Oreochromis niloticus: one gene and its partners. The protein of the gene in region 3 purifies or fractionates together with the protein of the main gene of each other region. This does not show direct contact. Links are inferred from orthologs where the notes say so. Each region holds a gene or a part of one and is shown on either strand. Other genes may lie near its edges.

Region 1 (7,234 bases), on a different chromosome or scaffold from region 3:
AGCTTCCTTTGATGGGTGGTTGGGCTTTCCCTTAGAGGGTGAGGAGCTTGGTCGTTTAGGAGGAACGCTGGAAGTAGAGCCACTCCTCCTTATAGAAAGAAGCCAGTTAAGGTGCTGGACATCTAATTAGGATGCCTCCTAAACATCTTCTTGATGAGGTTTTGCAGGCATGTCCTACCAGGAGGAGACCCCAGGGCAGACCCAGGATACACTGGAGGGTTTACATCTCAACACTTTGATGCCTCCCTGCCAGGTGAGCTGAAGGAGGTAAAGAAAAGGAAGGTTTGGGCTTCCCTACCTACCTGCTGTTCCTACAACCGAGAGCCTGATAAAGGGCAGAAGGTGGATGGAAGGAAGATACTGTTTAAGACGTTTTGTCTTTAAGATAAGGAGATTGACATTTCTTGAAAATCTCTCCTTGACAGTACAGCTGAGGATTGCTGGTGTTTACATTTAAAGGCATGAGACTTGGATCTTGGGTTGCCTGAAAGCTTATGTGCTCTGACACAAAAAGATTAACAAAGCAGATATACGTCTTTATATCAACAGCACAATTTTATTGAGTGTCCTGTTGCACTACTATAGTAACACTTTATCATAAAGTTTACCAATTTATATTTGACCTATTAGGGGATTGCTTTCCTCACACCCTCATGCTCAAACAGTAGGAGCTAATGATGTTAGCACTAGCTAGCTTCCCAAACCCAGAGGCAGCAGCGAAAAAAAATAAATAAATCACTGTTGACAGTGAGTGTCTGAAGGTGAGACATTCGTCATTAGGACATGAGTCATGTGAGGAAGTCGTGGCCAGTTTTTAATCGGATAGGTTGTTTCAGTACCACGTACCTGAGCTCTTTCGGCTAAAGTTAGCTTCTACACAGTGTTCTCTTGCTATGCTAACGCTAGCAAGCTAATTTAAAGCTAGGCTACATTTGCAGTGTGGTTAAAGCTCCAAGGCTACAACCCTCACGGAGTGTCCGCCCAAGGAAAATCAACCTGTTTTCCAGTCAATCTCCCCTTCACTGACATGATGCTCTGTGCGCCCACACCCTGCCCAGTTTCTCCCGGAGCAGCTGGCGTAGCCAGCAGACCTACCTATCAATGCAGGCGGCGCTCGGGACGGCAGGCCGGAGTCACTACACGCAGAAAAGCCTCAGTACTCCGAAAACCAGTACATGAACTCACACCTAAACGTCAACACTGCCATGCTGCTCGGGGTCTCTACCCCACCGACAGCCGGATAATACAAGCTGAATGGCAGCCAGCGAGTTCCTGCTTATCCAATATGAAACGCCGCCCATTTGCATTGCACCCCTGCTGGCTGCAGGTGATATAGTGGTGCGTTCACTGTTGTTACGAGTTTTTCAACAGTAGCCACTTCTAAGAAACCACCTGGAGCAATGTTATTGTGAGGCAGATGCATCACCGCTATTCATTGTTTACCTCTCCACATATAAAATATTTAAACTAGACAGTCTAAGGAGCTTGGAAAGAAAAACGTCTGGACTTCCAAGCTCCTTAGACTACGATGACCCGGATGACTGAGAACCTTCACAGACATTTAAACTAAACACAGATGTATCAATATATTTCAGTGATTAACAATTAATATCTCTGGTGATGCTCATAGCTGACAAGTGCGTTACAATGACAAGAGCCAAACAAATATCAGAGGTGATTAAGTGTCTCTAAACTGGTCCTAGCAGCATGTGTGCAAGAAAATGCATGCCATAACAGTAAACGTGTACTCAGTAGAATTAGTAAGGGCTGCTGTTGCATTTAAAGTCATCCAGACTCACTACCTCTGCTCCTCACTGTTACACCCATCTCCTTCTCATTCATTCTGTCATGCTTCCACTGACTTTCATTCCTCTTCTCTCCAGAGAACGCCTCAATTTTTCCTCCGTAGAGTTCTTATTATGACTAAAGCTTCTTAATTTAATGACTAATGCAAAAAAAAAGTTGCTGTCCTTTTGATGGCAAACTGATTTATTGTTACTGATATTTAAGTTAACTACACAGTATCTTAGAATATTTGACCAATTTGTTCTGACAGTAAAATGCACCATATGTCACTGAACGCAACCCGGCCGGTTTTCACCCAAGATGCACCTGTCCAACTGAACCGTCTGAGAAAAGCCATTTTGTTGTGCTAGCTAGCTTCATGGTAAAGAAAGCCAGCAGTAATTTGGGATTTTTATGTCAGCGCTAACGATGTCGCGTTTATGTGTTAGTGTACTGTCGCAAAATACAACAGTTAAACTCGTGGAGGCCTGTAAGTAGCCGATGGAGATATGAACTAGCTTATGAAGCTACGGCGCTGAGGAGAAGACGAAAAGTGTTTGCTAAAGTGTGCTGCAGGTTCAGATAACATACTGTTAGCTAGCAGTGTGTTTACTTAGGTAGGAGAGTGGCACATTTACCAGGTAGGAGGTAGTTATGTTTTCGGATTAGTTAACCTCGCGCTAAGTCATTTTTTCCCGTGAATGTGTTTTAAATAGGCTGCGAGTGCCTGTGCTGTCAACCAAAGACAAGTAGCTTAATATAGAGGCTGCCCCCCCTGACAGCGAGTAAACATCCCGGCAGTAAGTTAGCAAAACACTTGAACCATACAGCGATAAGCCAAAGCGCTAATCTGATAATGGCAGAGGACACCCGACAGGACAAGAGGGCCAGCTTCTCTATAACGGAGCACAGTGCTAACGGGATGGCCAGGACCTCCGCTGTGGCCTCAGGCAAAACCGGCACGTCAAAGAAACTAGTGATCAAAAATTTCAAAGGTACTGTCACTGAGCCTCTTCTAATGCGTTACCTAACAGCAGCAGTTACACAGAGATACCATAGCACGACATACGATGTTGCTTTCAGATAATGCCTGTAAAAAGATAAACAAACGAAAAAAAGTTAGTGCCCTGCTCAAGCACTCACATGTCACCTTTAACCAGGGCTTGCTCCTGATAAACTGATATGCATTTTCCATTATGCTGCATATCTGTTTGTGCCAAATCCACCAGCCATGGAGTTTTGGGCCACTCCTAAATCCCAGCACCTGTTGGATAAAGTAAAAGCGCGAGGTTTTATATCTGACATAACTAATCATTGAACGAATTGATCGTCTCAAAGATACTGCTGTTCTGTCAGTCCATTATTTCGCACCAAAAAGGGTGGGTGGGTGGGAAACTTAAATAAGAGGTTTACTTGTTTTAAGTCAAGGTTGATGTTAATATTGAGAAGTTACAGCACTTCACTTTACAATTAACCATTTACTTTGGACATTTTAGAAATGAAATTTTTTTTTGTGTGGAAAAAGATCGGCAAATAAATAAATGTTAATAAATGATTGAGTCAGAGAGACAAGTAAATTTGCTTTGTTCAATTTCCAGCAGGATAAATGTTTATTTGCCAACATAGCTGAGAGTCCAAAGTGTGTGGAGGTACTCCCTCTTTAGGTTATTGTCGGTCGTCCCAGTGTTGATGGCTTCATAAATACAGTAAAGCTATTGTGGAGTTGTATCAAAACTTCCTTTCCTTACCTTCAACATATGACAGAGAACTTTGAAAATGTCATTGAACATTTATCCATCAGGTTTTATCATTTCCACATTTAGAGCATTTGTAATAAACATGGTAATATATGATGTGCCCACATCCTAGTATGGTCATATTTTAGTCCTATAAGTGAGTCTTGTTGTATTTTTGTAAACAGATAGGCCAAAACTAGCAGAGAACTACACCGAGGACACGTGGCTGAAGCTGCGAGATGCGGTGGGTGCAATCCAGAACAGCACCTCCATCAAGTATAACCTGGAGGAGCTCTATCAGGTTTGCTGTTTGTCTTTTTAACTATCAAACTAGAATTAGACGTATTTTCTTCACACCCTGAGTAATGTGTTGCACTGCCGGGCCTTAAAAACATGTTGGTACAGAACAATTGAGCATGTCAAGCTCAAATGCTTTGCAGTCTCGACATTTTTTAACACCATAAAGCCACAGAATATTAAATGAGTCTGAAGTTGAAGAACAGCCGAGGATTAAAATAAACTTGTGAAGACTTGTCATTTGTTTTGTGCGTGTTGCATCACGTGCAGGACGTCTGCTGATGTGTTTGTTTGCTTTTAAACTGTTATGCATCTCAAAGGCTTTCACCACATTTTCACATAATTCTATGTTTGTGTTTCACTAATAGTGTTAAAGTCAATGTTATTATTCTCCAAATCACCTGTCTGTCCTGTGTTTTCTTTGTTTCTGCTGCACTTGAAGGCGGTGGAGAACCTGTGCTCGTATAAAGTCTCACCCACTCTGTACAAGCAGCTTCGGCAAGTCTGTGAAGATCACGTGCAGGCCCAGATCCACCAGTTTAGAGAATATCCTTTTTTATGTGCACAGGCATGTCAGGCAATCTATGTGCTAAACGTGCTGAAATATTGAAGCAGGTAGGATCTGTCTGATATCTTCTTTACTAAAAACCAAAATGATTCTCAGCTAACTGTGGAGTGAAATCCTGTCAGTATATGTTATATGCACTGACATGATAATAACAAGTTTCTCACTATAAGAGATAAACATCTAAATTAGTTCAGTTGGGTGAGGGTTAAAATCTGTAACCGGACACTAGTTTCCAGATGTTGTTCATCTGCGTGCAGACAAGAGTTGGGTATTGCTTATATAGTGAGTAGCAATTTGTTTGAGATCTGCTGCACACAGATAAGATAAAGCAGTGCTCCACTTTGTTTATAAATCTGCAGTTGGGACCTCAAGGTGGATTTTGCTTGGAATTTATTGGTAGCTTTACTCTTTCAATGATATCTGGGGTCTGCTGGCAGACGTCAAGCGATGCTCAATGTGTAGTTTGGCACCTACACTGTAGGTCTTTGCATGTATAGGTTTGATTGAATTTAATAATCGCATTTAATAACACTGGTTGGGCAGCTTTTTGAAGTTTGTTCTTTTAAGTATTAAGAGGAAGTTAGATAAACATGCTTTGTCACTATATCTCATTAGAGGTACTGTAATATTATTCAGAGCTGGGGTTTGATGCCTCAGTAAAAGATTTTCTTTAACTTGAACCTCACAGAGTCTTTGGACAACCTTTCCTTCCTGAAGCGAATGAATCGCTGCTGGCAGGACCACTGTAGGCAAACTGTGAGTGTGATGTTTGATAGATATGCATTTAAATATGCTCTGCTCAAACCTTAGTGGACTGTAGGAATGTTAATCTAATGATTCTCTGTAGATAATGATCCGGAGCATCTTTCTCTTCCTGGATCGTACCTATGTGCTGCAGAACTCTCTACTCCCTTCCATCTGGTAAAATTATAGTTAATTCAAGTCACTGTGTCTTTAAAGATGTTCCCAGAAAGCTGATGTTATGTATTCGCTGCAGGGACACCGGTTTGGAGCTGTTTCGCACCCACATTGTGAGCGACAGTGCTGTTCAAAAGCGAACAGTGGAAGGCATTTTGGAGCAGATTGAACTGGAGCGGAACGGAGAGACCGTGGACCGGAGTCTGCTTAGGAGTCTTCTTGGCATGCTGTCAGACCTGCAGGTACACAATCGCCTCTTCGTCACGTGCGCGCTTAGAGTGCATGCCAGTATTTCTCCATCATGACTCTCAACTCTTGTTAGGTTTACAAAGACTCCTTTGAGGAGAGATTTTTGACTGAGACCAATCGTCTGTATGCAGCAGAGGGACAGCGTCTGATGCAGGAGAGAGACGTGAGTGAGACCACCAGTGGGTGTGTGTGTCATGTGATTGTCATCAGCAGTACTGAGTGTGTGTGTTTGTGTGTGTTCAGGTACCCGAGTACCTGCACCACGTGGCTCGTCGGTTGGAGGAGGAAAATGATCGAATCGTGAGCTACCTCGATCAAAGCACTCAGTAATGTTTTTTATTTATTTACTTATTTATTTATTTGGATTTTTATTATATTATGGCATATTACTGAGACATCCAACATCAGCTATACCAGCTTATCCTTTTCAAGGGTTGCTGGAGCTTAAGGAAGGTAAAATTGCCTACTCACCATTTAAAACAGCTCTAAAGCAACATTCAGAAAGAACATTTAAAAACCATTCATTACCATATAGTGATATAGAAACTGCTAAATGGGGTTTAGTTTTGAGTCAGAAGACCAGTGGTGCCTTAAAGTGTCAACAAGCACTGTTATAGAAGATTGCAATCACAAACTTTGACACTACTACACTATTTTTTCTTCCACAACTACCCATGCAATCAGAAAGTTCTTCTTTTGATTCTATTTAAATAAAAAAAATCTACATGTTTTGGTTGGTTTACTCATTTATGATTGTCTCAGTCTCACCCTGGAAGTTCCCTTCTGACCACGTGCAGCTTTGCATCTGCATTTTAACTGTGCAGCTCTAACTTGCACAAAATGCAAATTGATGTGAGCGTTTATGTAAAGGATCATCACTGTGGATGAGAACTCTGACCACAACTCAGACATCAAACAGCATGTTTCAGTAAAACAGTCCACAGTCTGCAAGCCCGTATGAGGTGCTTGCTCCTTATTTTTCCATTGTCCACAGGGTTGTGCAGGACTTACTGATTATATTTGGTGCACATAACTTGAATTTTTTTAGCCCCACGAACACACCACTACTGAGCACCAGCTAAATTTGTTTCCTTCTGACTTCATCCTCCTCTTCAAATTGCAATTTAAGCTGAAGGATCTTTTGACGCTATGGGGGAGGGAATCCAGTGTGCATCACAAAAGTGCATCTGCATATGGAACAAACTGGATTCCCACAGAGCCATTTAAAAAAACAGCAGTCATGCTGGAAGTGGTGAATGAATTCGAAAGGAGACGATCCTGAAGGAATAATTGGCTAAATATTTATTATTTGTTTTTCTTATATTGTTTTCTTTGTTTCACAGGAAACCTCTCATTAGCTGTGTTGAGAAACAGCTGTTAGGAGAACATATGACTGCAATACTGCAAAAGGGTATGTCTGTGTGAAAGGTTTTGCAAACAACCACAAACAAACAGACGTGGTGCTGGGTTTCTGTTAAACTGGTACACATCAGTATTCTTTTCTTTTTTTTGTCCTTTAGCAACTTTTTTAGTGCTTTTTCTTTTTTAGTTGAGCTGTCCTGCCTGTAGAGCTGTACCCTGTTTTTATGCACACAATTAAACATTTTCAGTATGTAAAATGCACTCATGTTTGTGACAGGTCTGAGCACTCTGCTGGATGAGAATCGTGTGACTGAACTCA
Region 2 (7,228 bases), on a different chromosome or scaffold from region 3:
AAATGATCATTAGTGGCAGCCATATGTCCCAAAACAAACTTTTCTCTCACAAAACCAGCCTTATGAAGTGAGACTGAAATTAAATAATGAAATATTCTGTAATCTTCTGAAGCTCCTTTGTTTTTTTTAAAGTTGCATTGTGGAAGAAAAGTGCAAAAGAACCACACAGTCTGCTGAATCTTTAACAACTATGGTTAATTTTGTACATATATAAATATTTAACCTCCTGAGACCCAAGCTCTTGTTTGGGATGCATTTTTAATTTCTCCTAGTTATTTGGGATTAGTCGAACCAGAAAAGTATAAAATCTAAATATTATGTTTGAACAATGGGCACACACTACTTAACAAATTATAAAACAGTTTATTGAGCAGCATTACGAAGAATATTCAAGAGGTTAAAACATGTTTAGAGTAAGTATTAGGTGTGGAATTAAAGCACAGTTCAATAGCTTCAAATGATCTCCAACATACTGGAGACATATGTAGGGTGATTTCAACCTGGGACAGGCTGCAGCACACCAGCCTGCTCTGAAAAACGCACGACAGAATGAGGTTTATAATCTACCCGAAAGACAAAATTCTCTTTCATGCTTTCTTTGTCCTTAAACATTAATGTAACGTCAAACCATCAGCTCGCTCTGTCAGTTAACATGACTTTCCGAGGTGACAAATGTTCTCCGTTCTCTGAGAAATCACACACAACAGCTTCATTTGCTGCTATGACTGACCTAAAAGGCACGTAAATACTTTAATTATCTGATTTTTTTGGGACCTGAAATGACCTGTGTAATGCAAACAGACACATACGCTGAGATTAATAACACCTGATATCAGCAATTATTCATTTGCTTTAAGATTAAAATAAGGTTTCTTTAACATTTTGTAAATCATTTTATTTTCCACCTTAAATGAAACATATGTCTACATAGAAATAATGTATCAACACTTTTTGAAGCAATCATTATATATTTTATGAATATGTGGATGCGCTGTGATGACCGAGCATACGGAGATGTGTAATGTGGTTTGTTAGGTGATGATTTGTCTCCCCCTTAGGGTTATTAACCAAACTGTTCTTCTGTCTATGCTTCCACTTCATGCCTTTGTGCATCTAAATCTCAACAAGTGCTGTTAATAGTGTTAAATTACTCTTGGAAAAATGCAGCCAATTTGTATTATTTTATCTGCAGCTGATCTAACAGACTGTTATTGGGACTCGTGGGGTCAGGGGTGTAAATATCCGAGACTTGAGATGATTTTTCTTTTCACGCTCGTTAATATGATCAACAGTTATCCCTCTCTCCTCCACTAAAGCTAAAACGCTCCCCAGCGGACGGTCGGCGGGTCAGTGAAGGCTGAGGGCTATCAAAGCAGTGTATTAAAAGGAGCTCTTTGAAGCTTGTAAACCACGGTGCCCAGCAGGTCCACAACAGATAGACGCCTCTGATTGGTCAGGTGTGTGTGTGTGTGTGTGTGTTTTCTGCTGGATCGATCCACCGAGCTGACATTCTGGAGCATCAAAGCTTTCGGTGCACTAATCTGACTCCTCCTATGAGGGCGAGGGTTGTTTTTATTATTTTCCTTTTTTGTCCATGAGGTGCTTAAACTTTAGACGGGGCTCTTGCATGTTTATGATGGGAGAGCGGGCAAAGCATATGTTTTGGAGGTTTGAAAGGGAATGAAAACAAATCAAGCTTGGATACTGTATTTATCGAGCGATAAATAATGCAAAACTATAGAGAGAGAGATGGAGAGAGAAGCAGAGAATCACAGGGCCATCCGTTGGGCGTACCACTGGCAGCAGCAGAGGAGCGACACCGCAGAGATTCACACACTGCTGCTCCTCAAAGTCAGTTTCCCCTCACACTGTCTCTGGAGACCTGCGCCACATACACACTCATGAAAGGTGTGAAAATCTGATTTCCCAAAAAGGATCGGTAATTCTCTGTGAGGGTGGAAGCCGCAATCAATAAATCATTGCTAAGCAGATTGTAAAGAAAAAAAAAATTATTCCCCCTTGGTATCAGTGCATTAGGATTCTCCTGAGGATGGATGAGGCAAGACAGGGGTGTGAGACAATCTCAATAAAGAAGAGGCAAATCATACCTTTGGCATTCATCTGGACTCAGGCAAGCAGCTGTCAGCAGAGTGACGGAGGACCAGGCGAGTCGACCAATATCCGAAGCCACCATGTTCAGAGAAGTCTGCAAATATATAAAACAAATAGCCTAATTATTACTGGAAGTCTTGCTGACTGTGTTTGCTTTATTAGTGAATGCACAGGGATTTCCTTTATTAAGGCAGGCATAGGAGACAACCTCAGAAAAGTACTGTACTTTTAATTTTATATTAATCTACCACAGATTTTACCTCAAAAAGGGGCACAATAAATACTTTTAGCTGCTATTTCTCATCATAATAATGCACAATCTGGATGCCATTACTGCTTATTACCAAGTGGACAAAGTATTCATATTCTTTACCATCAAGAGTAAAGATGCATCCAAATACATATTTAGCTTCTTTCCTACAGCTGTAACACTGCTAAACACCATGTGACAGTAATTATGTACAACCCTCATGTGCAATATTCCACTACCCAATTCCACATCCCATAACTCGGGACATACCTCACTGTGTACATTTTATAATATGTAAAATAACTCATGTAAAGTGCACTTTTTTTTACTGCTCAGCTTCACACAATTACAACCCTCAGGCATATACATTACACAGACAGATGCACAGCCTGTAAATAAATAACTCATGTTCAGTCCAACCGTGCAATATTAAGTCCCAATACTTTTTACTCTTTAATGCTTGTCAGTAAATATTGTATTTTATATTTATATTATGTCAGTACATTTATTTTATCTAAGGTTTTTTCACCATCTGAGCAAGTATTACCTGATTTCATTATGTTTGCTTAATGATAATAAAGTGTCTTGAATCTTCAATACAGTCTTGGCAGTAAAATTTAAAGTATCAAAAATATAATTTAATATTCTTCTGAAACCAGGGGACTCAAACAATAGCTGAAGGGTTAATTTAGCCACCACGTTCAGAAAAATCTGCACATATTTAAATCGAATAGTCTTAATCATTTCAGTTAGTGATAGCTCCAAATGTACTGGAAAGAGGATTGTCTGTCCCGTTTTATTCAAATTGTCTCAATTAAGACAAAGAGAGATTGTGAATGAATTTAAAGTCCTGTAAGTTATCATTTTGAGATTATAGATTCAATTAGTGCTCAATTATTTGAAGAAAATTTTGTGTATTTTACCTCACATTCTACTGTATATCTGGCTAGTGGCAGTAAATAATCAATATAAAAGGGGACAATGTGTACAGTAAATACTGTTGCCTAATAATTCTTGTAATAATACTCATGATTACTTCAGAGCCATTACTTTTGTAAAAACTACTTAATTATAAGTAATAGTATTGATGGACTTTAAGCAAAAGTAGCATGTTTATGCTGTTTGGAACCGTTTTGAACTATTTTTAATATTTACTATAAATGATATAAATTTCTCCTCTAGGGAAAAACTACAGTATTTGCCACTGATATGTTACAGACAATTAATATAAAATACAACAAATTAAAATACTCAGCTGTATACAAGGGGGTGGATTTAGTTGGCTCCTTTTAGCCACTTATTTGAATACCTTTTAATGACAGCAGAAATCAGCCTTTTTATCATCCCCTTGGGGACAGTTTGGAGGACTTTTAGTCCAGGTTAATTTATTGTATCTGGCGACCGTTCAAATTTTTAAGGTTGGTCTATTAATGTTGTCAGTGAAGATGTGCTTTATGGTTATACCTAGCTTTACTGCGGGTTATTTGGCTGCAGTTTCAAGACTGTTAGCTTCAACTGAAAAAAAGACATTTTCTTCACAAGTTTTCCGTCTGACACTTAAGAAAAGAGACACTTGGATTGTTAAAACCGAGTAAAACTTGCTACAAGTATTTGCCACGAAAACCACGAAAAACACATTATAAACTGTCACCTGGCATCGTTTTTCAAGTAATCGTCTCCTTTTATTCTGTCTGAGCATCCGCGTTGTCGTTTCTCTATCTGAATGACTTCATTACCCATAACGCCTTGATACTCGAATTGAAGTCATGTGATTTAGCTCATGACTGGAAGCAGGTTTCGACAACAAATATCACTTTGCTGTCACGCAAAATCGGGTGTTTCTGAGATGAAACAAACCTTTATCGGAGATTTAACGGATATTTTTTAAAATATTTGTTAAAGTATTATAGCTGTTACCTTTGGATATATCGCTAAATAATATCACAATGGCGGAAGTGGAGGAGCAGGTAAGCTCAAATGCTAACGCTAGCTAGCTAAATGTTTCTGTTTTAAACGCACTTGCATCAAAAATGCATTCAAAGTGTGGCTGTGAGAGCTGTCAGCTGTGGTTTCATTTGATTTAGCTTCTCATCAAGCCATTCTCTAGCTTGGAAAGCTAACATTTTAGGTGCTAATTTAGCTTTGCAGTTGTTTGGTATGTATTTAATGTCTAAATAAATAGCCATGGCCTTTGAAACCATGCTTTAACATTAATATATTTTTAAAAGCAACCCAACATTTTTCTGCTTTTAGGTCAGTCATCCAAGTGAGGAAACCACAGATGAGTCTGAGGTAAGAATCAAAAATACCTCATCATTTTAGATCATCTAAGATGAATTTATATTAAGAAATTTTGATATATATTTAGAAAATAATAACAGGAAAAAATGGACTTGAATGTGTCATGCAGTTGCACCAGTATGTCAGTGTAGACATGCATCACCAATAATATACTGTCAGTGACAGAAGTGTTCATATTTCCGTCAGGTTTGGATGCTTTTTGAAATCTCTGCCTACTGAAGGGGCTGTAATACATAACATAGCCTTTATCAGCACAGCTTGATCCCTAAAGGATCTTTGTCAGGTTCTGAGAGGTGTCAAACACTCATGAATTACATATAGCTTTCCAGATCCATCAATATTATGACTGAACTCTGGCATGTTACAGTACACCTGTGCTTCGGAGGATCTCACATGGGCTGAATAAAATATAACATTACACATCACGCTGACAGGAAGGAGAATTTTTCTTCATAGGTAGCAGAGGATGGAATCATATATAAGATATATGCTGCATTTTGGACACCTGCACCTTTCTCAAGCTACTTTTTTTTTTCTCAAGAAAATAAACCAGACTTGTAAATAGTGGTCTGTCTGTGCACCATGTGTTCAGTAGTCATGGACAAACACTCACTGGACTGTGGGATTGCAAGTCTCCTCTGAGTGGCTGCTGCAAACAGGTGATTATTTGCTTACAATATTGCAATATACTGTAGCTGGCTGCTGTTGTTACCAGCTTGACAGCAGCCTCGCTAGATGAAGGCAGCGAGGGGCTGTTTGCTCTACACTCTACTAACAGAAGAGATGAGCAGGGTAACAATTTGTCTGAGCAGTGGCTCTGGAAAGTCACAGGCATTCTCTTCATCAACGTCATGATTTGGTTAGATTAGTCTGATTTGTAATAACATAATACAATAATAAGCCTGATTTGTAAGTGCTTTTTAGTATGCTCAGCGGATCAAACCCTTAAAACGATAGATTTAAGCGACATATTAGTCGACTGATTGCACCAATTTCCCCCTCTTTCTGCCTCAAACAAACTAACATGGTTAGATTTAACAGCTACAGCGTTCCCCTTAAAAGCAGACAAATGGGCGAGTCTTGCTTGAACCTTGAACATTAAGCTAGATGATGACACGAGGAGTCTCATTTAGCTCAGCTGTCAGTAGATGGAGAATATGGCAAAAATGGTTACAAATCAAAAGAAACCCCAGCAGCTGACAAACGAAAGGGTGAGTTCCATAAAAGCCTGTCAAAAAATGTACTTTTGTGGTCCCGAAAAGCACATAAAAGGTAGAGAATGAAGGGTAATAAATGGAAGAAAAGACATCATGCATTGTATTTTTAGCAACTTGCTGGACCACTATAAGGCTCTAAGTGCTCTACATGATTCTGCCACTCCTTTAGAAGCAAATGAAATGGTTTAATGCATATTTTAGCTTAGCTTAGTTTAGTTTTATTCAGTCATCACATATTGCACAGACAGTGTAAACAGCACACAATAAATCAGGATCTCTGCACCATGTAGTGACTGAACAGAATCAGGCAGAAGCAACGCATCTGTAAGCCTAGACTGCGGTCTTTTAATTCCAGAATTAATGGGAACAACATAATCGTTCACACTCTCAAGTGTCAATAATTTATGATGTCTTTGTGCTACTGTTTGGAAAAGAAAAAGCAAATTAATTAAATTCATTTTAGCAATTTTCTATAATTTAACCTCAACACTAGAAGTTCACTTTGAGTACCAAAATCTAAAAGCTAATTTGTTAAACAGCATTATGGACACACTTTAATTTTATGGACTAAGGACCAAGCTGATGTCAGCTGGGAAAACAGTTTAAGCAAAGTTTTTATAGCATGTTATATGCTGGTTTCATAAACGTAGGTCTTTGAACATGACCCATGCAAATCAGGAGTTTGGTGTGAGTGCCACCACCATGCGTGCTAGGATTGAAATTCATAAATGCAATTAAGTTAAATATAGCTGTTGATAACAGCATCAAGACAGCCACTGTTAATATACTGCAGGTTGCAAGACCGACAGGAAATGATGGTGTATGAATTTGACAAGTCTATTACTGAATTTGGGATCCTGGGAAGTATAAAGCTGCCACTAATGCTATGATCAGGATAAAGGTATGATCTCCAGTTATTTGAAAACAAGAACAGTCCTGCAAAAAAATGGACAAAGCAAAGTTAGAAAACATTGGTTTCAGAGCTGTAAAGAAATGGCTTTAATTCAAACCAAGTGGACTGAAACAAGCAAATATAATGATGGGAAAAAAAATGATTACCAGACTCCTGATTTTGTTGCAAGCACTGAAACATACAAGGTTTCCTTAACTAGGGTATATGATAATGTTAACTTTGTGTATTTTATCCTGTACATGCCCAGGTGTGACATGTATAGCTCAGTAGTTTGTGTCTAAATGCTACGTTTCTGAATGCCATAATCCATCAGAGATCATATTTTTAATTGTAAATTGATAGTTGATATATGGCAGTTGTAAAACTGTTATTACTGTGTAACAGTGTGTCATAAGCACCTTGTCCTGAAAAGAAGAAAAAAACTTCTTTTAGTGA
Region 3 (7,697 bases):
CAAACAAGCTATCATGCTGATACCCTGCTATAATTGTTGGCTCCATCCAGTCAACCTAAATCTGGCTGGTGAGGATTTTTTTTTTTTTAATTCAGAAATCACAACAAGGCGTACTGAATTTGCAGTCGACATCCGACAGATCCCAGCAATCCTGAGATTTAGCTGAAAACGCCATCTGACCAGCACATTGATGTACATATAATTCAGATTCAACTTTTAGACTCAAAGGGAGCTGAAGAGAAAGTCTGAAACCTTAACCATAAGAAAACAGAGAAAAAGAACAGTTGCTTAATCAACAACAAAACTCCACATGGCATAACATCTGCCATCAGTTAAAGTGCAATACTGCCACCCACTATGTTTAAGTGTCAACCTGATAGTTACTGGTGCTGCACTACTTTTTTGTGTGCATTATTAATATTCTTTAAATATTTCATATTTTAAATATCACAGTTATCACCAACTCTGTTACATCACAAGTCTCCTAATATAGCAGAGAATGCTATTATCCGAGCCTCCTTTTAAAGCTAAGTCAGTAAACAGCTACAGGACGAGGGAACACTCGATTACCGGCACTCTAGCAAGAGCCTGCAGTGAGTTTCGGATTTGCTTGGGTGATGGTGATTCATCCTTGTATGCCCCAGAAGCAAGAGGTGGGACTGGCTGCTGATGCACCGGCCGGTTATGTTCCCTCGGTTTCTTCAAATCTTATGTCAGAGGTAACAGATAGGCGTATTAAATGTCTGTTTGTAGTCTTATGAGACAAAACTACATGGTTGATAAGATGAAAGAAAACACGTCAGGTCTCTTAGTCTTACTGCTGTTACTCTCTCCCCTGTGAAGATCTGGTTCAGCTGTGGGATATCTGACTCTCCCTCTTGTCCCACTAGCAAACTAGCAGGTACAATGCCCCTGGGTGTTTTTAACAAATCTGTGTTGGCAAACTGTTCTGGCCTGGAAGCTGCAACACTAACAGGAAGCTTCTGCGCAACTTTTGACAGAAAAACCTCTGTCGGGAGTCTTTTCTGTAGGCGTCACTCTGAAGACCATCACTGAAGCTGCAACATATGCAAAGCAGGGATTAGAATGAGTGCAATATAAGGGTCAGGGATTGGGAAGGGTAGTGGAAAGGTGGAAAAGGGGTTTCGAGATAAGCTAGTGTTAATTCTATTTTGGATGTTTAACTCCTCACTCTGCTGGGGGAACTTTGTTAAAAGGCCACATTCATTACTTCTGCTTTCTCCAATATGCCACACCATTTAGGCAGCTCGAATCACCACATTTGGATAAGTAAGTGAATCAATGCTTATCCACCGCTGATGAGAATAAGAAGATGAAGCCACTCCCCTCTGGAACTCGGCCGCAAATGGCAGAATAAAGTACCTCCTCTAACAGAATTTAAACACAGAACACAAAATCTGCTGAGATTTACAGTAAAAACTGTGTGATTTAGGCCCGAAGCTGCATGCATAGATGGTGACGAGCACAGAAAACATGGAGTCATGCACCTTTACCAACTGTGGCCATGGTAACAGCAAGATCAGAAGATGAGAATGAGAGTGATTAAACTCCGTGTGTGTGTGTGTGTGTGTGTGTGTGTGTGTGTGTGTGTGTGTGTGTGTGTGTGCGTGTGTGTGTGTGTGTGGAGTGTGTCTGCATAGTAGACCACACCTGTGCCAAATTTTCAGACCCATGCAGACCAGGTCATTGTTACAAATGTTGTAAAGAAACGTGGTTAAAGAAGAAGGGTATGGCTGCCTTGTATGCTTGTGTGTTAAATAATGCATACAGCATGCAAAGCACTTCGTTCCTCCATCTTTCCCCCCCACCTTTTCTCTAACTACCCATCATTCTTGCTCTTTTACTCTTGTTTTATGTGACCAGATGTGAAAACAACTGATCTCCTCCTATATTTTTTCTTAATTTCATTCCTTCTCTAGAAAACAACAATAGGCGAGCAGGCAGGGAGAAAAATACAAAGACAAGGGACATCAGGATAAAGGTGTCATCCAGTCACTACTGGGGCTGCTTATGTGCAAGGATGCAACTGCAGATATCGCTCAGACCATTCATTCAGTCTTTTCTCCCCTCCCCCATTTAATCCACATGCTTCAGGTCTGTAGGAGGAGTTGGGAGATGGTGGAACTGGAAGGCAGAGCCCAGCTTCCTTTCTCTGTCCTCTTTCCATATTAATGTCAGAATAAGAATGAACTAGTCCAACCCATTACAGCACACGCACACACACACACACACACACACACACACACACACACACACACACACACACACACACACACACACACACACACACACACAGATACACACTGCTTTGACATTCCAGGTTTAATAATAATAGCCCCAGGGTGCAGTATAAGATAGCATCACAACAAGTAGTCAACTGAATCACCTGCTCTGTGGCACAGCTGGAGTTGAGAAGCAGCCCTCCCCACATCAGTGATCAGCTTGACGTTTTTCCTCCATAGTCTGCAAGCCTCCAGCGTGCGCTCCTAAAAAATCCTGCAGCAACGCCCAGGGACTGCAACCACACAGTCTCCCACATGACTTACCAGGTCTGTTCTCTTACATCAGATCTACAACAACAAAGCACTTCATTTGCAGGAGGAGCCGGCCTCTAGTCTTGTTTTATTAAATCTTTTTTATAAAGGGAGATGGGGGCTGAACCTACTGAGGTACACCCAGAGTGTAGCCATTCATGAATAAACTTAGTCCATAATCATAACACCAAAGTAGGCAGTAGTAAATCAGTGCAACACCAGCTCTGCATGAATGACAGCAAAAAATAAAATAAATAAATAAAATTCTGCAGCAGGATCACGTCTTCGGAATGATGTCCCCCCCCAAAACCCCCCCACAAAGGATTCACTGAAATGTTCATTGTTATAATTGTAAGCTATAGGTTAATTAACAGCATGCATACTGAGTGCACTGCACACTCCCTCACAATCTTCCCCTTCATTCAAACGACTCAGTAAATAACAGGCTAATAAAAACCCATGATATGTGTTCCAGCAAATTAATAAAAACAGGCAATAAAACGAGCTCCCTAGTAAGCGATTTCTATTCCCCGTGTCTTCTGAATGAAATGCTGCATCCATTCAACTTGCACAGGCTAAAGAGAAATTACAATGGGCTGTCCAAACGCAATAATCTCACAGAAATGTTTCGGGTGAGGATGTAATGTTTGAAAATCCTTCGAAGGAGATCGCACAGCCTACCTGTGAATCCAGCCCTGCCTCTCTCGCCTCTCCTTCTCTCTCAGGGAGCTGTCAGGGAATGATGCGGACTAAATTTCTGTGCAGCGCTCGGATCCGACCACGGAGTTAGTCATTGCGCATGGTGCCCGTCACAAAAGCCTGTGGCTTTATTTATTTATTTTTCCTGGAAGAGTAGTCTGTTGCTGAAATGCACAGTGGATCACCCCAGTGCGTGGGAACTGGTCTTCTATCCTGCGCGGAGGATGGAAAGCCCTTGGTACCCTGGGCAGGAAACCCCTGGATGTGAAGTGATAACACTGATGCTCAAGTAGGCAGTCATCACCTGATCCAATTGTCTCCATAACACAGTGTCTAAATTTGTCTCATCATTCAGCAGTCTGTCTTTATGGCGCGTAAACATGGATTATAGCTTTAAAGTTTGATTTTTAAGCCGTTTTTTATTTGAGTCACTTTTTTTTTTGATTGTATTAAACAACCATTCTTCATATGTATGTGCCAACAAGAATCTTTATGTTTTCTGTATGATAACATTAGCAGAAACTTTTATTTCCCCTGTCACATCTTCTTCTTTTTCTCCTTCTTCTTGTCTTTTTTAAAAGATAGTTTTAACTATGTAATTTTCAAGAAAAAAAAAAGCCAAATTCCAACATCAGTGACTCAATTACAGGAGCTTGCCGGCGATTGAATCCTACTGTGAGGACACTGCGCCATCTAATGGATCCAATAATAATTGCGGAAAAGGATGAATGCATTTCTTTAGCTGAAGGTTTTGAATTATTCTAAAAGGATTCATTATTTTTTTATTATTCTAATAAGTTATTTGTTTGTAACGTGAATGAAATGAACAATCGTCACGGTCATAAATAACCGTAGTCACAGTGGTTATGGCCTGCACTTTGTGGTAGTTACAGTGTAGAGTTGCCACCAATGACTGTAGAAAGCACCTCCTCCCATTGTGCAAAAATGAAGCCAAATCCCGCTTGTGAATTTGGACACAGCTTCCACACCTACTCGCAAAAAGAAGAGTACAGGAGGATTGAAACAGTACCTCCTCTGCGCTTCCTTCATCGTATTTAAAAGCATACTTGAACAGGAAACATTTCTGATGTTATTCTGTCGATGTCTACGCTTAAAAAGTATAATTTAAACAATGCTGAGACTCGGTATGAGACATGAGTATTTCTCTTAGCTGTTTAAGTAATTTTTCTTACCGAGCAACATCTACGCATGCGTGAAACCCGTATTTCCCGTTATGCTATTTTAGTTTTTGCATTTAACTTTTATTTATTATTACCGTAGACTGCAAACAGATAGTGCCGACATGAATTTGTCGGTGCATTAGTGAAGTGGAAGTGTTTGAGTGCACATTTTCACAGTGTTTAGGCTCAATTGTGGCGTTTTCTACAATCACTGGTGTGAACTAGCTTGACTTTCTTTGGTCACATGATGCGACTACGCTGAAGTCACCTGATTTGTTGTGCTGCTAGTAAGGAAAAAATGGCTGCTCACTTGTCGTACGGTAGAGTGAATTTAAACATATTGAGAGAAGCAGCACGAAAAGAGCTTCGAGAGTTTTTGGACAAATGCGCAGGAAGCAAGGTGACAAACCCGCATACGCCTGTGAAATGTAGTCCAAACACTGGTAGTTAATGTGGTCTCTGAGGCTCAGCGTTACCATGCGACTGTCAGTTAACATTATAGTCATAGTTTTATTTTGAATGTGTAAAACAATACAGATAACGCAGACATATTTCTGTGTAGGTGCGTCGTATTATAAAATATTCGAGCTACTAGCTAAGTAACAGTTAGCAAGTATCGCCTGACAGAACATCTTCAGTTCTGCTTACTCACGATTCAAAGCTTTGTGTGCTCTTACTCTTTCTTTAGGCCATAGTTTGGGACGAATATCTGACGGGACCGTTTGGACTAATAGCTCAGTACTCTCTGTTGAAGGTAAGTGCTTTCTGTTTACAAACCCATTTCTAAAAATGTTAGGAAGCCGTGCTTTGTGGGAATGCAATGATTTGCAAATCTCCTAAACCAATATATTATTTACATTAAAAAAATAGAAAACGTCAGAGCTTTCTACTGTTTAATGAAAAAATATTAGGCCATTTTGAGTGTGATGGCAACAAGACAACTGAACGTTGGTACAAGAAGAACAGTCTGGAAAAGTAATTGGTACTAAAATGAAATAGCTGGAGGAACATTTGGCAACAGGTCAGTAACATGATTGGTACATATCAGCCAGAGATTCAGAGAATCTGAAGGAATCTCTGTGGACAAGGGACGAAAAACACTCAGGTGCCGCTGCATTAAAAACACACATGGTTCTGTCATGAAAACCGCTGCATAGGTTCATGAACACTTCCAGAAATAATTGTCTGTGAACACAGATCACCATGCTATCCAAAACTAGAGGTTAAAGGTCTGTCACGCAAAGAAGAAGCCATGGTTGAACATGAAATGCTACTGTCTGCTAATTGTGGAAAACTATTCTGTGGTCAGATGAATTAAGACTTTAAATTATTTTTGCAAAACATGTATGTTGTGTCCTCAGGACTAAACAGAAAAGGCAGCATCTGACTTATTATCAGCACTGAGTTCAAAAACCTGCACCTGTGATGGAGCTGCATTCATGCCTGTGGAATTGGTAGTCTACATATCTAGCAATGCTGAAAACAGGTTTTACATATGCTCCTATCCAGACTGGATAGGACAGCAGTCTTTTTGCACATTTCATCAAAAGACTCCTAAACCGCATTAAGCATCTATTACAACAGCATGCATTCATAGTTGAAGAGTCTACTGAACTGTCCTGCCTACATTCTAGACTTTTCAACAGCTGAAAGCATTTGGCACATCGTGAAATCAAAAATGCAACAAATTAGACTCAGAAGTGTTGACGTATTGGTGTCGCCAAATTAAAAATCATCAAATATTTTTCTTGGTCCATTTTCTTATTTTAAATCTTTTATGTTTTATGTTATTTTCTAGTGTAAAAGAAATATGTGTTCATGAGATTTTCAAATCTTGGAATTCTGTATTTATTTGCACATTATTTTTTGGAAGTGGGTGCACAATTTATGTCTCAATTAACTCAGACAACAGACAAGGCCCACATGTCTTATTATCTAGTTTCTTTTAACACTAATGTCATGTGTCTAATGTTGCTGAGGGTGTTGTTTTAACTTGTCGTTTATTATGGTGTGTTCAGGAACATGAAGTGGAAAAGATGTTCACCCTCAAGCATGGGAGGCTTCCCCCTGCTGATGTCAAAAATATCATCTTTTTTGTCCGGCCCAGACTGGAACTTATGGACATCATTGCAGACAATATAACTAGGTGAGTGTATGTGTCTCATCCTCAATCTGTGATAAAGACAAGGTTTTGTTTTCTTGTCCTTTCTCTCACTTTGCATAGCTATCCACACTTTGCAACATGAATTGTGCTACTCTTTAGTGAGGATAGACACCATTCATCCCGAGACTTTCATATTTTGTTCGTGCCTCGGCGGAGCATGCTGTGCGAACAGCGGCTAAAGGAGCAGGGCGTGCTGGGCTCTTTCATCAACATCGATGAGTATATCCTGGACCTGATTCCCTACGATGGGGACCTGCTGTCCATGGAGTATGAAAGTGCTTTCAGGGTGTGTTCAGGTTGCACAGTACAAATATGTATCATCCACTTGCTTTGGTGGAATCTCTCATATACACATAAATTACTCCCCTTTGTCGCACTCAGGAGTGCTACCTGGAAAATGACCAAACAAGCCTGTACCACACAGCCAAAGGCCTCATGACCTTGCAGGCTCTGTATGGCACCATTCCACAGATATATGGGAAAGGAGAATGTGCACGGGTGAGCATGGTGTAACCTTCAATAATTTCTGTTTTATATGAAAGCAGAGGCTCTGCAGGAGCGAGGTAAATACATTTTTCTGATAAACAAATCCTCTGCTTGTTATCAGCTCGTTGCCAACATGATGTTGAGGATGAAGAGGGAGTTTGCTGGCAGTCAGAATCAGATTCTGCCCGTGTTCGATACCCTACTTCTCCTTGATCGTAACGTTGACCTGCTCACCCCTCTGGCCACACAGCTCACCTATGAGGGTCTCATTGACGAGATTTACGGAATCAATAATGGTATGAATAAATCATTTAGAGTTCTTACTCTTATGTTTGCATGTTGAGCCTCAGTAATATTTATTGTTTCTGACATCTGCATATCCCGCTGTTTCTTTCGGAACTTTATTTTTAATGAAAAGCAGAGCAGGATTACACTTGAACATTAAAATTAATCTTCTTTTTTTCTCCAATATTTGACATATTGCTCATATTGTAGTGTTGAGGTGGAGGTTAGTTTCTCCAGCAGTTTGATGATGTCTGCAGTCTAGTGATCCTTGTTTGGATGCTTGCCTGCAGACATTTCTGTGTGGTAGCTTTTCATGCTAGTACTGTC

Evidence for each region.
Region 1: the proteins of vps33a (region 3) and tgfbrap1 purify together in Homo sapiens (co-immunoprecipitation; 5 studies listed by BioGRID and IntAct, with this or other methods). This does not show direct contact. The link is inferred for Oreochromis niloticus from reciprocal best matches to the Homo sapiens genes VPS33A and TGFBRAP1.
Region 2: the proteins of vps33a (region 3) and vps41 purify together in Homo sapiens (affinity purification with mass spectrometry; 5 studies listed by BioGRID and IntAct, counting the BioPlex papers as one, with this or other methods). This does not show direct contact. The link is inferred for Oreochromis niloticus from reciprocal best matches to the Homo sapiens genes VPS33A and VPS41.

The regions. Positions count from the first base shown.
Region 1 is NC_031965.2:16,372,613-16,379,846, forward strand, and holds the start of tgfbrap1 (transforming growth factor-beta receptor-associated protein 1 homolog), read right to left. Parts: upstream 3,053-7,234; 5' UTR 2,981-3,052; coding exon 2,929-2,980; intron 2,781-2,928; coding exon of another isoform or gene 2,642-2,780; exon of another isoform or gene 2,106-2,641; intron 1,333-2,105; exon of another isoform or gene 1,096-1,332; intron 1-1,095. Other genes in the region: cul4a (cullin-4A), read left to right, coding at 2,642-2,780, 3,707-3,822, 4,261-4,364, 5,073-5,142, 5,234-5,307, 5,384-5,546, 5,627-5,716, 5,797-5,879 and 2 more. UniProt on the Homo sapiens protein: Plays a role in the TGF-beta/activin signaling pathway. It associates with inactive heteromeric TGF-beta and activin receptor complexes, mainly through the type II receptor, and is released upon activation of signaling.
Region 2 is NC_031974.2:15,255,510-15,262,737, forward strand, and holds the start of vps41 (vacuolar protein sorting-associated protein 41 homolog), read left to right. Parts: upstream 1-4,137; 5' UTR 4,138-4,308; coding exon 4,309-4,329; intron 4,330-4,615; coding exon 4,616-4,654; intron 4,655-7,228. Other genes in the region: pou6f2 (POU domain, class 6, transcription factor 2), read right to left, coding at 2,109-2,206, 4,014-4,061. UniProt on the Homo sapiens protein: Plays a role in vesicle-mediated protein trafficking to lysosomal compartments including the endocytic membrane transport and autophagic pathways. Acts as a component of the HOPS endosomal tethering complex.
Region 3 is NC_031977.2:12,418,287-12,425,983, reverse strand, and holds the start of vps33a (vacuolar protein sorting-associated protein 33A), read left to right. Parts: upstream 1-4,669; 5' UTR 4,670-4,733; coding exon 4,734-4,835; intron 4,836-4,912; exon of another isoform or gene 4,913-4,997; intron 4,998-5,123; coding exon 5,124-5,189; intron 5,190-6,453; coding exon 6,454-6,581; intron 6,582-6,698; coding exon 6,699-6,885; intron 6,886-6,980; coding exon 6,981-7,097; intron 7,098-7,206; coding exon 7,207-7,381; intron 7,382-7,697.